Linked DNA regions of Notamacropus eugenii. The main gene of each other region encodes a partner of the protein of the gene in region 2 in a complex. Links are inferred from orthologs where the notes say so. Each region holds a gene or a part of one and is shown on either strand. Other genes may lie near its edges.

What was found.
Region 1: the proteins of MICALL1 (region 2) and EHD1 are in contact, whole or in part, in an NMR structure (PDB 2KSP), measured with the Homo sapiens proteins. The link is inferred for Notamacropus eugenii from reciprocal best matches to the Homo sapiens genes MICALL1 and EHD1. Residues at the interface, in NP_203744.1 of Homo sapiens: Lys422, Tyr424, Asn425, Pro426, Phe427, Glu428, Glu429; in NP_001269373.1 of Homo sapiens: Gly464, Ala467, Lys468, Met471, Asn478, Leu481, Gly482, Trp485, Lys486, Lys492, Asp493, Gly494.

Annotation. Positions count from the first base shown.
Region 1 is NC_092873.1:17,647,720-17,655,667, reverse strand, and holds the start of EHD1 (EH domain-containing protein 1), read left to right. Parts: upstream 1-4,932; 5' UTR 4,933-5,061; coding exon 5,062-5,080; intron 5,081-5,326; exon of another isoform or gene 5,327-5,421; intron 5,422-6,879; coding exon 6,880-7,306; intron 7,307-7,948. UniProt on the Homo sapiens protein: ATP- and membrane-binding protein that controls membrane reorganization/tubulation upon ATP hydrolysis. In vitro causes vesiculation of endocytic membranes. Acts in early endocytic membrane fusion and membrane trafficking of recycling endosomes.
Region 2 is NC_092874.1:295,400,704-295,407,621, forward strand, and holds the start of MICALL1 (MICAL-like protein 1), read left to right. Parts: upstream 1-3,909; 5' UTR 3,910-3,921; coding exon 3,922-4,145; intron 4,146-4,471; exon of another isoform or gene 4,472-4,560; coding exon of another isoform or gene 4,561-4,706; intron 4,707-6,918. UniProt on the Homo sapiens protein: Lipid-binding protein with higher affinity for phosphatidic acid, a lipid enriched in recycling endosome membranes. On endosome membranes, acts as a downstream effector of Rab proteins recruiting cytosolic proteins to regulate membrane tubulation.

The DNA.
Region 1 (7,948 bases), on a different chromosome or scaffold from region 2:
TCTTGTGTTCCTGGTTCTGCTGGATGCGCCCTGAATCAGTTCACAGAAATCTTTCTAAGCTTGTCTGCATTCATCACGTTTGTCATTTCTTATGCACAGTCCTGCCCTCCTACAGTCACACACCACAACTGGTTTGGCCATTTCCTGAATCAGTGGACCTTTGCTTTCACAAAAAGTATTTCTCTCAATATTATGGTGCCCATGGAGCCTTTCCTTTGGTCACTGACTAGCCCTGGAATTCCTGAATCAAAATAATGGATGTTTTAGTGAATTTCCCCCCACAATTCCTCCCAAACACTCACCGCCCCATCACCCTGTCCTCTTGGATGCTCACTACCCCATAGCCCTGGTTCTTCTACTTCTCTCCATCCATCTTCTGCGTCCTTCAGTGTTTGCTATTTCTAGCTCTGGGAGAAAGGAAGTTTCCAAAGCTCTGTTCCTGTCTCTTTCCATTTTTTTCCTTTGGAAGCTTCTTTCAATCCCCCAATCTCAGTCACAGCCTCTCCACAGATGGCTCCCAAATCTATACCTCTCTTCTGAGCTCCAAACTTGAGCATCTAAAATTCCATGATTGATTGGTTTTTAGGGGAACAGATGAAAGATGATTGCAACCTTTCAAGCCTGAGTGATAAGGAGCCTCGTGGTACCCTTCTCAGAAGTGGGATGAGGGAGAAGATGATGTATTTAAGTTTGAGAACTGTTGGCTGTAAACATGGGATGGGAGGATTGGGGTGATCTAGTCTGGGAAGTCACCCATGGGGAGGTGATAGCTGGAATGTCAGGTATGGGGAACTTCACTGGGGAAAAATATGTAAAAAGAGGAGAAAGTAGAAGTAGAGACAGGGACTGCCAGTACTCCCTGTGATGATTCAAAGGTGCTTTGGGTGGATGGACAGATGGCATGGACTTCAAACAAGGAGGAAAGACTTAAAACTGTGTCCTTCTTTATCCTTGGAGGCAGGATAATGAGCCTTACCTCGAGAGTACTGGAGTATGACCCCATCTGCAAGGAGCCAGCATTCCACTGGGATGAGAAGAGAGAAGAAAGAAGCTAAGGGAAGATAGATAAAGAGGAATTGGCCCAAGAATTTCTTAGGGGCCTTTGAATGGGGTCAGGAGAAGGAAAGACTAAAGGAAAGCAAGCTGGAGCTAGGATTGCCCTTGGTTGGGTTGGAATGAAAGAAGTTTGTTGATGGAGGAGCCTGGTGCATCACCCTGTCCTCCTGGGCGCTCTCTCTTCTTTAGGTCTTCTTGACATATTTCTCTCCTGGTTCTCTTGTTTCCTCTCTGAGAATCCCCTTTGCAGTCTCCTTTGCTAATTCTTTATTCTCTAACCATGCACAAGAGGCCCCACAGCTCTGTCCTGGGGCCTCCTTTCTCTTTATTCTCATTGGTTCCCATGGGTTCAACGACCATTTCTATGAAGACAATGCCCAGATTTCTATGTCTAGGCCTGACCTCTTTATGGGTCATGTGCCTCCAGTTGCATTCTGGATGTCTCAAATTCAACATGTTCAAATTAAAACTCATTTAGCTTCCCCCTGCACCCCGCCTTCCCCTTCTGAACTTCCTTATTATTATCAAAGGTACCGCCACCCTCCCCCAACTTCTCACACCTCCTCAAGCCACACATCCTATGTCTTGGCAAATTCTGTTATTTCTGCGCTCACAACATCTCCTTCCTCTGCTCATACAGCCACACCCCACGTTCAGGCCCTGGTCACCTCTCACCCAATCTTTTCAATATTCTCTTTATCCCTCTCTCCCATCTGTCTGAGCCCAGCTGATGAGCTGATTTTTGTCACTTGTAGCCTGAGCATGTCACCCCACCCCCTGCTCAATCCAGTGACCCCAGAAGGGAGATGGGGGGAAGTGGGGCCACTGGGAGGGAAAGAGAAGCCATAACCTCCAGGATCAATACCACCTCCTCTGACTGGACTTCAAAGCCTTTCATGACCCTTCCCCTTCCTATCTTCTTGCACCTTCTCCCTTCTATGTACTCTACTATCTAGCTATACTGGCCTTCTTGCTCTTCCTCTCATATGACCCTCCATCTCCCATCACCCTGCCTTTGCACTGGCTAAACCCCATGCCTGGAATGCCCTCCCTCCCCATCTTTGCCTTTTAGTTTCCTTGGCTTCTCTCCAGACTCAGCTCAGCAGAAGGCTCCTCCTAGTCCTCCCCCCAGTTGCTAATAACTGTCTTCCTCTTTCAGATGACCTTTCATTAATTCTGCATATTCCTTGAATGTACCTTGTTATTTACATGTTGTATCTCCCATTGCTTAAGGGCACAGGCTGCTTTTGGCCTTTAGCCTCAACTCTTAACAGGGTGACCGCCACATTCTGGAGTGGCTGTTAACTGACTGACTGACTAACTGTCTATAGGGGAAGGGAGAATATGTTATCCTTGAAACGCCTGTGTAGCATTCAGCTGATGACAACATCACCTACTCTGGGTCTGGTAGGGTGGAGCCTTGGTGGGCTTGCCTGAGACAGGCTTGGTGTGAACTTTCTCATAAGAGAGATGGGAAGTGGGAAAATCCCAGCAGGGTCTGAGCAGACAGAACCAAATGGAGGGCCAGCCAGGAAGGTACCTCAGAAACTCAAGGGCCTCTTGCTGTTGCCAGCAGGAACCTTTCTGCCGCTTCCAGGCTGAGTGGTACCAACTGGGCATGTTGGATCAGCTGCCATAGTCATCAGAGCTTCAGAGGCACAAGTCAGGAGATTAGCCAGCTTTCTTCCCTTGGACTGCTGAGCTCCAGCCCTGGCCTCTGTGGTTGGCGAAGCCTTGGAGAAGAGTTCTTGAAACCTGTTCTCCCTAATCTACTAGTTTCTTACCACCAATGAGGGAGTGTGAGAAATAACTTGAGAAAGCATGACCTAAATTCCCTAGAAGATTGGGAGGGTGTGTTGTGGCTTGATTCCTATCTGTTGTCATTTGTGGATTCCCTTTCAAGTCAATGGCCTTTTGAGTTACTGTTAGTGTGTCTACATTCTGACCCAGTCCCCTTTAACCAGGCCTGCTAGAAAATCCTTATGGGATTCTTGGGTACCTGGTAGGGTTTCTTCTTTCCTGCCCAGGATGAGCCCTCACTGGCTGTGTTCTTTCCATTTGTTAGGGGCCAGTGACTAGCACCCCAATTCAATTTAGCCATTTACACACAGCTAGGTGTCTGTTGGTGCAGTGGATAGAGTGCCAAGCCTACAGTCAGGAAGATCTCAGTTCAAATCTGGCCTCAGGCACTTACTAGCTGGGTAACCCTGGGCAAGTCATTTAACTCTGTTTGCCTCAGTTTTCTCATCTGTAAAATGAACTGAAGAAGGAATTGGCAAACCACTCCAGTATCTTTGCCAAGAGAACCCCCAAAAGAGTTCATGAAGAGTCAGACACAATTGAACAACACCAGTTTATTTCAAAGCTATAACAAGAACAAATGTTCAGACATTCCTCCTCATGCCTTTGGGATGTCTCTCTCCTACATCACCTTGGCCTCTGGAGAAGGCACAAAACTTAACTATGTTCCTTCATTGTTTTGGTCCCATAGTTCATGTCCAGATGTGGCACTCATCCCAGGAGAGTCCTTCTGCAGAGTCAGGGTCCCGAAGGTTTCTCTTTGGGACATTGAAGCTGCACTGGCTGCCAATCCCAGTCTGGGGTCCTACTTTGCAATTCCTGTGGCCCAGACCACTGTCCTATGTTCAGAAATCCCATTCCCTGGCCCTGGGACAGCAGAAAATGAACAACAACTTCAGATGGTCTCCACTGTTTCCTGATAGCACAGTCTCTCACCTAAGAGCTAACACAGCTCTCACAATGTGCCAAGCATTGTACCAAGCACTTGACCATTATTAACTCATTGATGCTCACAAGAGCCCTGGAAGAAAGATGATATTATTACCCTCATTTTACAGATGAGGAAACTGAGGCAGACAGGGTGAAGAGACTTGCCCAAGGTCACACTGCTAGTAAGTGTCTGAGGCCACATTTGAACACAGGTCTTCCTGATTCTAAGGCCAGCACCAATGTGAAATTTTTTTTTAAAGAGAGTGGAGGAAGATTGTGAAGGACTGCACTTCTTAGATAAGGGTATTTTTGCCTGCCATCTCCCGTGCCCAGAATCCTCGCTCTCCTCATCTCTTCTCCTAGATTCCTTTTTCATGTCCCCACCCCAAACCCCATCTTCCATAGGGAGCCTTTTCTTTCCTGGTCCCTCTCAACTCTAGAGCTTTCCTTCTGGTGATCATTTTCTGACTTAGGCTGCCTGGTACAGTTGTCTGCTGTTGTCTCCCCATCAGACTCTGAGGTCCTGGAGGGCAAGGCCTGTCTTTTGCTTTCTTTGCACCCCGAACACTTAGCACAGTGCTTGGCACATCGTAGGTATTTACTGAACACCTTACTTCTAGCACCTTGACTTTTGGTTCCTCATTTCCTTATTAATTTAATAAATGCTTATTGACTGATTTTAAATGCCAGACAGGTTGTATGTTATCCCAGAGGCCATAGGGAGTCACTGAGGTTTTCTGAGCAGGGGAGTAACCTGGTCAGCTTTTTTTTTTTTTTGTGGGGGTGAGCATTAGGAAAAATTTTTGAAGGGTGGACATTAGGAAGATGATTTTGGGTGGTGGGTATCAGGGAGATGATTTTGTAACATAAGCCTGTGATCATCTCAGTGATGAAGAAGAAAGAAGCAACTGGCCTCAAGTCTCCCTTAATTCAATATTTTTTCTCTGACCCATTTTCCCTCCTAGAATTAATGTGTCCCTTCCCATTCTCTCCCCTCCCAAGATCCTTGTCTCTTTCTTGAGTTAGTTGTTGTTCCTGCTATACCTGAGGCAAGGAACAGCCCCAGGAGTGGCTCCACACTCTCCCCTCCTTCTGTTTCCCCAGAGGAAGCCGCTGCCTGGCACCCCCTCTGTTGATCTAACAATCCCGGTTCCCAGGACTCTGACATCATACCTGGGGCTTCCACCTGGGCCCAACCCCCTGTTGCTGCCCACCCCAGAGGCAGTGGATGTGGGGCTATGCAATTCTGGGGATGGTGGTGGAATTATCAGCACAATGGAAGAGCCAGGAACCGGTAAGGGAGCTACTGGGTCAAGAGTCAAAGGGAGGACAAAGTGAGAACAGGCGCAAAAGCAGAAGTGGTTTAGATTTCCTTGGTCTTTTGGATTACCCAGGAAATTTGATTATTTCCCCAGACCTTTTCCCCTTCCCTCCCACACTGAGGAGGGGAATTTCCAAACCTAGTTCCTCAAAACTCAACAGGCTCCTTTCACACACAGGCACACTTTTCTTTCATTCATTCACTCACTCATGCACTCACCCAACACTTATTAAGCTCCTTCTTCGTGCAGAATCAGGTCAGTCTGTAATTCCCCTGCCCCTCTTGTTTCATTTTCTCTCCCAAATGTCTCAGACCTAGAGGATTCAAAAAAATCACCTGCCCATCCAGCTTGGCTTTCTCTGCTTTTCTGTCCTTCCTTCTCACTTTTCACAGTCTAACTCAACACCTGCTGTGTACCTCGCCTCCATTCCACTTGACTTCGCCTCCTTCTCTACTCCTCCTCTGCCCCCTTTCTTGACTCTTTCTCACCTGTCCCACCTTTTGGATATTATATCCTAGGAGAGGACATAGGGTAAAGATGGGGAGGGTGGGAGGAGGGACTGACGGACACAGAGGGAGAATCCAGAAGAGCCCCTGGGGCTCTTGGGTACTTTTGCATTTGGGGAATTTAGAGCTGGGAGATCATCCCCCCAACTCTGCCTCTCTCTAGAAGCAGCCCCGACCTCGGGGTGTCAGGCGGTGCCCTTGACTGGGCTAGCTCCTTGGACCCATGGTGGAGATGGAGGCTGTTACTGTTCCACCCCCCCCCCTTTCTTTTTTACTGACGAACAAACTGAGGCTGAGAAGTTAAGTGCCTGCGCAGGAGAGGGTCTGAACTCGGGTCTTCCTGACTCCAGGTCCTTTATTGTCTGTCCCACCTTGCGTTAGATGGGTGATCAGAGGCTGGAGGGGGAAAGACTGACCCAAGGTCACACGGGGGGGCATCAAGGGGCACTGTAGGTGTGACCTTGGCCAAGTCCTCTCCTCTCTCGGGGCTTTAGAATCCGGATCTGTCAGAGGGGGGCGCAGTGAGCCTCAGTTTCCCGAAGTGTAAACTGAGGGGCCAGAGCCCCTTCTTGGTCTGGTCTCATGTATGACTTTGGATAAGTCGTTTCCCTGTCCCGGGCCTCAGTTTCCCTAACTGTAAGGGGAGGGGGCTGGGGAGTGGCTGATAGGCAAGCGCAGGTCTAGGAGCGGACCTAGGACAGAGCCCAGGGTGGCTTGGGACACGTGATCCGAGAGTGGCACTCGGGGCAGCGGGGAGGTTGACAGGAGCCGAGTGGGCGGGGCGGAGGAAAACACAAAAAGCCCCGCCTCCGCGTCTCGATCTGGCCCTAGGGTCTTTTCCCTCTCCTGCGCACGCGCGGTCCTCAACCCCGCCCCCCCCTCCCCCAAGGAATAGGCGGTGGGGGTGGGGAGAAACGGCGCCCTTGCCTCGGTAGCCTCCTCGGCTACGAGCCAGCAGGCAACGTCGCGAGACTTGCCCCGGGCCAATGGGAGGCGGGGGAGGACGTGGCGCTGCGGCCCCTCGGCCGGGCGGGCGCGCGCGAAGGCCACGGGCGGCTTGGGCTCCGCCCCCGTTCCAGGCCGCCTATAAAAGAGGCGGCCGGAGGAGGCGCGCTCTCATTCGGCGGCGGGGGCGGGCCGGGTCGGGCGGTTGTGTGTGCGCCTGCGCGCTGCGGAGGGGGCGCGGTAGGGGCCAGAGCCGGGCCGCCGTCGCCGCCGCTCCTCCCTCTCCGCGGCCCGCCTCACGGGCCCGCTTCCCCGCGCAGCGTCGGCCGCCGGCCTCGTCACCATGTTCAGCTGGGTGAACAAGGATGCGCGGCGCAAGAAGGAGCCCGAGCTCTTCCAGACGGTGGCCGAGGGGCTGCGGCAGCTGTACGCGCAGAAGCTGCTGCCGCTGGAGGAGCACTACCGCTTCCACGACTTCCACTCGCCCGCGCTCGAGGACGCCGACTTCGACAACAAGCCCATGGTGCTGCTGGTGGGCCAGTACAGCACGGGCAAGACCACCTTCATCCGGCACCTCATCGAGCAGGACTTCCCCGGCATGCGCATCGGGCCCGAGCCCACCACCGACTCCTTCATCGCCGTCATGCACGGCGCCTCGGAGGGCGTGGTGCCGGGCAACGCGCTGGTGGTGGACCCGCGCCGGCCCTTCCGCAAGCTCAACGCCTTCGGCAACGCCTTCCTTAACCGGTGAGTGGGGGCCGGGAGGGAGGGCACCCCCTGTGGTGCCCTCGCCCGGGGCCAGGCTCCAGGGACCCCCCCAGAAGGGAGGGCGCCCCCCTCGTGTGCTCTCGCCCGGGGCCAGGCTCCAGGGACCCCCCCAGAAGGGAGGGCGCCCCCCTCGTGTGCCCTCGCCCGGGGCCAGGCTCCAGGGACCCCCCCCAGAAGGGAGGGCGCCCCCCTCGTGTGCCCTCGCCCGGGGCCAGGCTCCAGGGACCCCCCCAGAAGGGAGGGCGCCCCCCTCGTGTGCCCTCGCCTGGGGCCAGGCTCCAGGGACCCCCCCAGAAGGGAGGGCGCCCCCCTCGTGTGCTCTCGCCCGGGGCCAGGCTCCAGGGACCCCCCCAGAAGGGAGGGCGCCCCCCCCCCCCGTGTGCCCTCACCCAGGGCCAGGCTCCAGGGACCCCCCCACAGGAGGGAGGGCACCCCCCTCCGCGGGCGTGCGCCCCCCTCGTGTGCCCTCGCCCGGGGCCAGGCTCCAGGGACCCCCCCAGAAGGGAGGGCGCCCCCCCCCCCCGTGTGCCCTCACCCAGGGCCAGGCTCCAGGGACCCCCCCACAGGAGGGAGGGCACCCCCCTCCGCGGGCGTGCGCCCCCCTCGTGTGCCCTCGCCCGG
Region 2 (6,918 bases):
GTTAATGAGTTGGTAAGCAAGTAGGAAAGGTGGTTGTTTTCTTCAGTGGCCTGGAACCCACTGCTGGGGGTGTGTGTGTGTGTGTGTGTGTGTGTGTGTGTGTGTGTGTGTGTGTGTGTGTGTGTGTGTGTGTGTGTGTGTGTGTGTGTGTGTGTGTGTGTCTGTGTGTCTGTGTGTGTGTGTCTGTGTGTGTGTGTGTGTCTGTGTGTGTGTCTCTTTGTTTCCTTCTGAGACAGGTCTGGTGGTGCTGTGAAGATCCAAGGGCAGGTCGAAGGCCTTTACTTCCCATCCTCCAAGCTCTTTCCTCACCCACTTTCTGTCATCGACAGAAGCTCAAAGGAACTACTCCCTTCTCCAATTTAATTCTAATCAATTGTACCATGGAAAGAACACTGCCTCTGGAGTCAGGAGACCTGGATTCCACTTCTGCTTCTGATGCATGAGAGTGTTGGTTAAGGGGACCTTGGAGGTGTTCTGAATTATGATCCTATGAATCTTGAGGGCCTCAGTTTCCTTGTCTGTAAAATGAGAGTTGATGCATTTGGACTCTACATACAGGTTCATGTTCCTTCGTTCCCCTCCATTTTGACTTGGGGGCCTCTCCAGAAGGGAGAAAGCACCCACACCGTTTCTTTAGTCCTTTAAGGTTTCCAAAGGGCTCTCCAGGAAACTGGGACTCGTTTTATTTAGCTTTTGTTTCTTCAGCATCTAGAATTTGTTTTTTAACCAAACTTGTGATTTCACTGGCAGAGGGAACTTCCAGTGAGGAAAATCCCTTTACAAACACAGACCTGCACCTCCTCTACAACTTGTAGCCTCTGAGGGCACACAGTAGGCATTGACTAAGTGCTCATTGGGTTGGATCAGTGCCCAGTGCCCATTAGTGCCATATCAGATTTCCATGTTACAGAAGTCACACTGTATTGCTTCAGCCTGGAGCTGGATCACCTTGTCCAACCTTCTCCTGTTATTTTACAGGTAAAGAAATCAAAGGCCAGAGAAACAAGAGCCTTGTCCAAAGCCACACAGTTAGGTCACAAGGGACATCAAGGAGATGCCAGATCTAGACCTGGAAGAAGCAGATGGTTACCTGCTCTCTGGAGGGTTGTGAGAGCAGGAGCCTGCAATATCGCAGGTATCCTAAGAAGGGAAAACAGAATTGGACCTCAGAAACCTTCTAGTCCAACCCCTTCCTCTTACAAATGGGGAAACTGAGGCCCAGAGAAGTCATAAGACCCTACAGCTGGAAGACTCCTCAGAGGTTCAACATCCTTATCTTATAGACGAGGATACTGAGACTCAGGGATGTAGTGATAGACAGTGACAGAAGGATTTTAACCCAAAGAAGCACTATTTCCACTGTACCATACATGCAAATCACTTTATAAACTCTACAGGCATTATCTGTGGTACAGTGGAAAGATCTCTGGCTCTGCCCTCTGATTCTGAATCTGTGCTCTCCTGGTCCTGCTCAGGTCCTTTCCCTTGTTTGAGGGGCACCATCTGCTTGGTGGTAAGTGCTTTGATGATGGAGAGCAGCACATTTCCTCCTCTGTGTCGTCCGTATCTAGCATGGCACTGGGCACAGACCTTAATGACTATTGGTTGAATGGATTTAAGGAGTCCTATTGTCCTTTGGGTAGTGACATCACATTGGGATTAAAGGCTTCATAAATGCGATAATTGCTAGGGAAACCTCTCCAGTAAATCCATGTGCGGAGCTCACTTACTTGGCTTCTCCCTGACTCAGCTGCCTGCTTAAAAGAGCAACCTCAATGGGGATTGGGAGCACAGCTGAGCAGACACATCCGAATGACATCACTGGAGTGATGATAATATAATAGGTGAAGTTAGTGGAGTGGGAAAAACACCTCATTTAGTAATCAGAAGGTCTGAGTGCTAATTCCATGTTGTTGTTCAGTTGGGTTCAGTCCTGTCTGACTTTTTATGACCCCATTTGGGGTTTTCTTGGCAAAGCTACTGGAGTTGGTTTACCATTTCTTTCTCCAGTTCTTCTTACAAATGAGGAAACTGAGTCAAATGATTCTCCCAGAGTCACACAGCTAATAAGTATCTGAGGCCAGATTTGAACTCACAAGGATGAGTCTCCCTGACTCCAGGCCTGGTACTCTATCTACTGAGCCACCTAGCTGCTCTGTCTCTGCTAATTCCATCCCTGACATTTATTACCTGAGTGACCCTGGGCAAATCTCTTCAGCTCCCTGAGCCTCAGTTTCCTCTGTAAACTGAAGATGTTAGCCTAGAATCAAGGGTAGGGAACTTGCAGCCTCAAGGCCACCTGTGGCTCTCTAGGTCCTTGGGTGCAACCTTTTGACTGAATCAGTGTTTACAGAACAAATCCTTTTATGAAGGGAATTTGTGCTGTGAAGTTTGGATTACACTTGAGGTCCTCGAGGCTGCAGGTTCCCTACGCCTGGACTAGAGGGATGCTGAAGTTCCTTCCAGCTTTAGATTTCTGATCTTATAACAGTGGGCAAATCTCTCCCCCTACTCGAGCACTAAGGACTTGCTATAAATGGTGGTTTGTTGTTAGTAGTGGTTTGGCTTATCATAGCCATTGTTATTAGTAGTGGCTTGCAGCTTTACAATTTATAATGGCTGGGTTTTGTCCATTCTCGTCTGAAGGTCACCATAGACCTGGAGATAAGACAAACCAAGAATGATCTAGGGCATAGATTCTAAGGGCCCTGGTGACAGTGTATGACTAATCCAATGACCAGCCTTGCTAAGCGACAGTAGGATATAGTTGTTAGTCTCTGGGACTCTCAAGAACCATCTACCAGTCATAGAAAAGGTGCACTTGGCCCCAAATGAATCTGACCAGGTCACTCCCTAACTCCTTAAACTTCATTGGTTCGATCTTGCCTCCAGGATAAAAGAATGAAAGTCAAAGCATTTTTTAAGCCTGGTCTACATGCCAAGCACAGTGGTGGGCAAGGAGGGGAACTTTGGTCCTGAAAGTTACAGGGATGGGCTAGTGGAGTATAAAATACAAAAACCTTAGCCTGGCTTCCGATCCCCCTTTCCAGCTTTCTTTCACAGTATTCCCTTTGCCCACTCCAGGAGCATTACTATAGCTCTCATCTTATCCCTTTCATGCATGCACAGTCTATCCCTCTCCAGCCTGATAAGTGCTCCATCCTCAGCTTGGCCTGGTGACAACTTTTTCCCCAAAAGTCCAGCTCAGGACCACCTTGTCTAGGAAGGCTTCCTTGGTCCTAGTCCAACTGAAAGTTTCAGGGCTGCCCAAACCAAAGAAGCATTTTGTCTCCAACACACTAGATCTGTCCCAAAAGTTTGAGTGCAGCTTCTGCACTCGCTCTTTTTTTATGAGTTTAAACTGCACTAAGACTTTTAGGACATTCTGTACTATACTAATTCAAGTATATATTATTGCTTCCCCACAATTAGGCTTATTAACTCCCTCAGGGCAAAGACTGTTGCTGGTTTTCACTTTGGTAGGTCCAAGGCTTTGCACATCAGCAGTAAGTCCTGGGTAAATGTTAGTATAGTATTATCCTTATAGTATTAAGCAGTCATTAGAGGATCCTAGTTTTTAGAGCTGGGAGGGATCTTGAGGGGGAAATGGAGACTCAGCGAGGGAAAGAAGGCTTGGTTAGGGCCATCGGACCCCAGAGCTGGAGCTGGAGATCTCAGAGGCCAGCCCTTTCATTGTGCAGACGGGGAAACGGAGGCCCGAGAGGCCGTGTAAGGTGCAAGCCGCAGGGCTAGCCCTCGGACTCCAGGCTCCTCCACGTCCTGGTTACCGAACCCCCTGTCTCCGTGCGCGTGTTCAGCCTCCCACCTCGGGGGCCGCTCTCTGGCGTCAGGGAGGAGACCAGGCTGAGCTGGGGGGCGGAGGCCGGGAGGAGGGGGGTACTTGGCGGATCCTGGAGGAGGATGTTCCCGAGGCCAGCGAGGGGCTCCCGGGCCTGGGAGGGGGAGGGCTCGTGCCGGGCATCCTTAGGAGGGCGCAAAGGGTATTCCAGGAAGGAAGTTCTCGCCCGCCTCGAGGAGGAAGGGGGGCCCTTCGGCTTTATCAGGCCCTGGTGGGGACGTCGGGGGCTCCGTCCCTCGGGTGTCCGTGCAGGGGCGGCTCCTCTCTGCAGCGGGGAGCCCTCAGGGTAGGGTAGCCCCGGCGCGGTCGGTCTGGGGCCCCGGGGGATCCCTCGGGCACGTGCACCTCGGGAGTTGGGGGGGCCCCCGCGGGGCTGGAGGGAGGGAGCGGGGGAGGTCTGCGGTGCCTCTCCAGGGGGGATGCGGGGTGAGGGTGGGCCCCCGGTCCCCCCTGCCTCCTCCGCCCCCTGCCCCGCCCCGTGCGCCGAGCCGGGCCGGGCGGGGCGCGTGAGTAAGCGCCGGGCGGGGCGGGGCGGGGCCGGACAGGTCTGAGCAGGGCCGGGGGGAGGGGCAGGAGGAGGGGGAGGGGGAGGAGGAGGAGGAGCCCGAGCCGACAGAGAGCCCAGCCCTGGAGCCCGAGCCCGAGCGGCCGGAGCGGGGCTGCCGTGGGGTCCAGTCCGAGGAGGAGGCGGCGGCCGGGCCATGGCCGGGCCCCGGGCCGCGCTGCTGGCCTGGTGCCGTCAGCAGTGCCGCGGCTACCCCGGCGTGGAGATCCGGGACCTGAGCGGCTCCTTCCGGGACGGCCTGGCCTTCTGCGCCCTGCTGCACCGGCACCGGCCCGAGCTGCTGTGAGCGCGGGGGGATGGGGGCCGGGGAGCAGGAGGGGGGAGGGGGCAGTGCGCCCCCGCCTCGAGCCGGGGCCAGGCGGGCTGGGGACCCGGCCTGCGGGGCGGGGCTGCAGAGAGGCTCGTCAGTTTCGTTTGGTCCGGAGGCCGTGGGAACCGCGCGCGACCTCCCGGTGTGCGCCGAGCCGCGGGCCGGGGGGGGGGCGGCGACGGGGGCGCGGGACCCCTCCTGTGCCTTTGGGAGGGCGTGGGAGAGACTAGTGAGTGTGTGTAGTGTGCGAGCGTGAGTGTGTATGAGAGTGAGTGTGAGAGTGTGTGTGTGTGTGTGTGGTGACTGTGTGTGAGACTGTGGGAGTGTGACTGTGAGTGTGTGGGAGAGGGAGAGGTGCCGAGCCGCCCGTCAGGTTCCCGAAGCCTTGCTCAGATCCTCCGGCCGCTTCCCGAGGTCACTCTCCCCAGGTGGGTCAGCAGATGGGCTACCACCCGGAGGCAGGAGCAGCCCCAGCTCCAAGCAGGGGTTCGGAGATCTGGTCTAAACTCTGTATGTGCAGATGGGGCACCCAGGGCCCAAGGCAGAGGCTGCTGAGGCCAAACCCTGTGGGCCACAGATGGACTTAGTTTTAAAATCTAATGCTATCTACGTTTTATTGTAAATTTTTTTGGTTAAATATTTTCCAATTGGATTTTAATCTGACTTGGCTGCCCTCTGGAAGGTTGTAGGCAGTGTGTCCGACACCTCTGATGTAGAAGACAGAGTTTAAGATTTGGAGGAAGCCTCAGAGGCCACCCAGCATTTTACAGAGGGGGAAACTGAGGCCTGATGAGCCTGAATGGGTTCCTGAGGGTCCCAAGTGTCAGAAGTAGCGTTTGAACCCTGGGCGCTCTCGGAGGGAGTTGGGCTCCAGGGCTTCTGAAGGCCTTGCCAGCTGTGTGTAATTTTCTGTTTCCTTATCTGTAAAAATTCAAGGTTGGGTTAGATGCCTGGGAAGGCCTCTGAGCCTAAGACTGTGTTTAAAGTCACATGGCCCATTAGGGGCCAAACTGAGACCAGAACTCAGGTGCCCTGCTTGGTCCTTTGCACTGCCGATCAGGGTCTTAGAACCAGTCAATCTGGCACAGAGAAAGCACTTTGCTGGGGGGCCCAGGAACTCAGGGCCCTGCCATTAGCTTGCTGGGTGACATTGGGGAAGTCCCTTCCTCCTGTTCCTTAAGATTCTGAGATCAATAGCAGAGTTGGGCCAGAAAGGCTGACCCTTTGACCATCCTCATTCTCATGGACAAGGGCAAGAATCTGTGAGTGAATGAAGATAAAAATCCAGAATTCTGTGAGAGGAGGGAAGTCGTTTTATCTGGGCCTGTGTTTCTCCATCTGTAAAAGTGAGAGAGTTGGCCACTGAAGTCCTTTCCAACTCAATATCCTCAGATGCTGCTGATAAGCTTTCAGCTCCTGACCTGGACACCAGAGATACAAGGTGCCCAAGGGACCAAAGCATGGGAGTTAGGATCCAAACCCATGGCTTTCTTCTCACAGGTTTCCTCCTGCCTGAGGTCCCAGGAAGTATCAGAACCAGGTTGGCCCCTGGGATCTTCTGGTACTGTGCCAAGCCACACCAGGCTGTATGTCAGAGGTGCCAATGTGGATGCTCCCTGATGGTCTTCTGGCAGTAGGAGTCAGTGATTCTCTCTTGCCTTCCTTTCCCCCAGTGTCAAGTATCTAGTGTGAATGTGTGTATGTGAGTGTGTGTGTGTGTGTGTGTGTGTGTAAAAAGTTAGTTGGTTTCACAACATCTGGTTAAAGGGCACTTCTGTGCTCTGCTTCTACCAGGTGTATAGACCTCTTCTCCCTCCCTGGCTAGCCCTGGCATTCTTACCCCTGAACAAATGAACTGTTTGGGAAGGGGGAGGCTCCTCTGGGGTCTAGGCCCCTCCCACAGGGAGTGGTAGGCTGGGTCTGGGAGAGCCTTGAGTGAGACTTTGAAGGGCTGTGAAGGCCCCTGTCCTGCCCCTGTGGGTAAGGAGGAAATTTAGGCCAATATTGTCTTGGACAAAATAGTAAGGTGCAGTAAGGGGAGCAGATGAGAGCAGTCTGTGGGGCTCAAGGCTCCCTAGCACAGGGAGCTTGCTCTGGTTACAGACTGATGGGGGATCTAGCTGATGGAGAAATGTCTGTGTGCAGCCAGGTCTTGTATGGTGCGTGGCACATATGTGTTTGTGG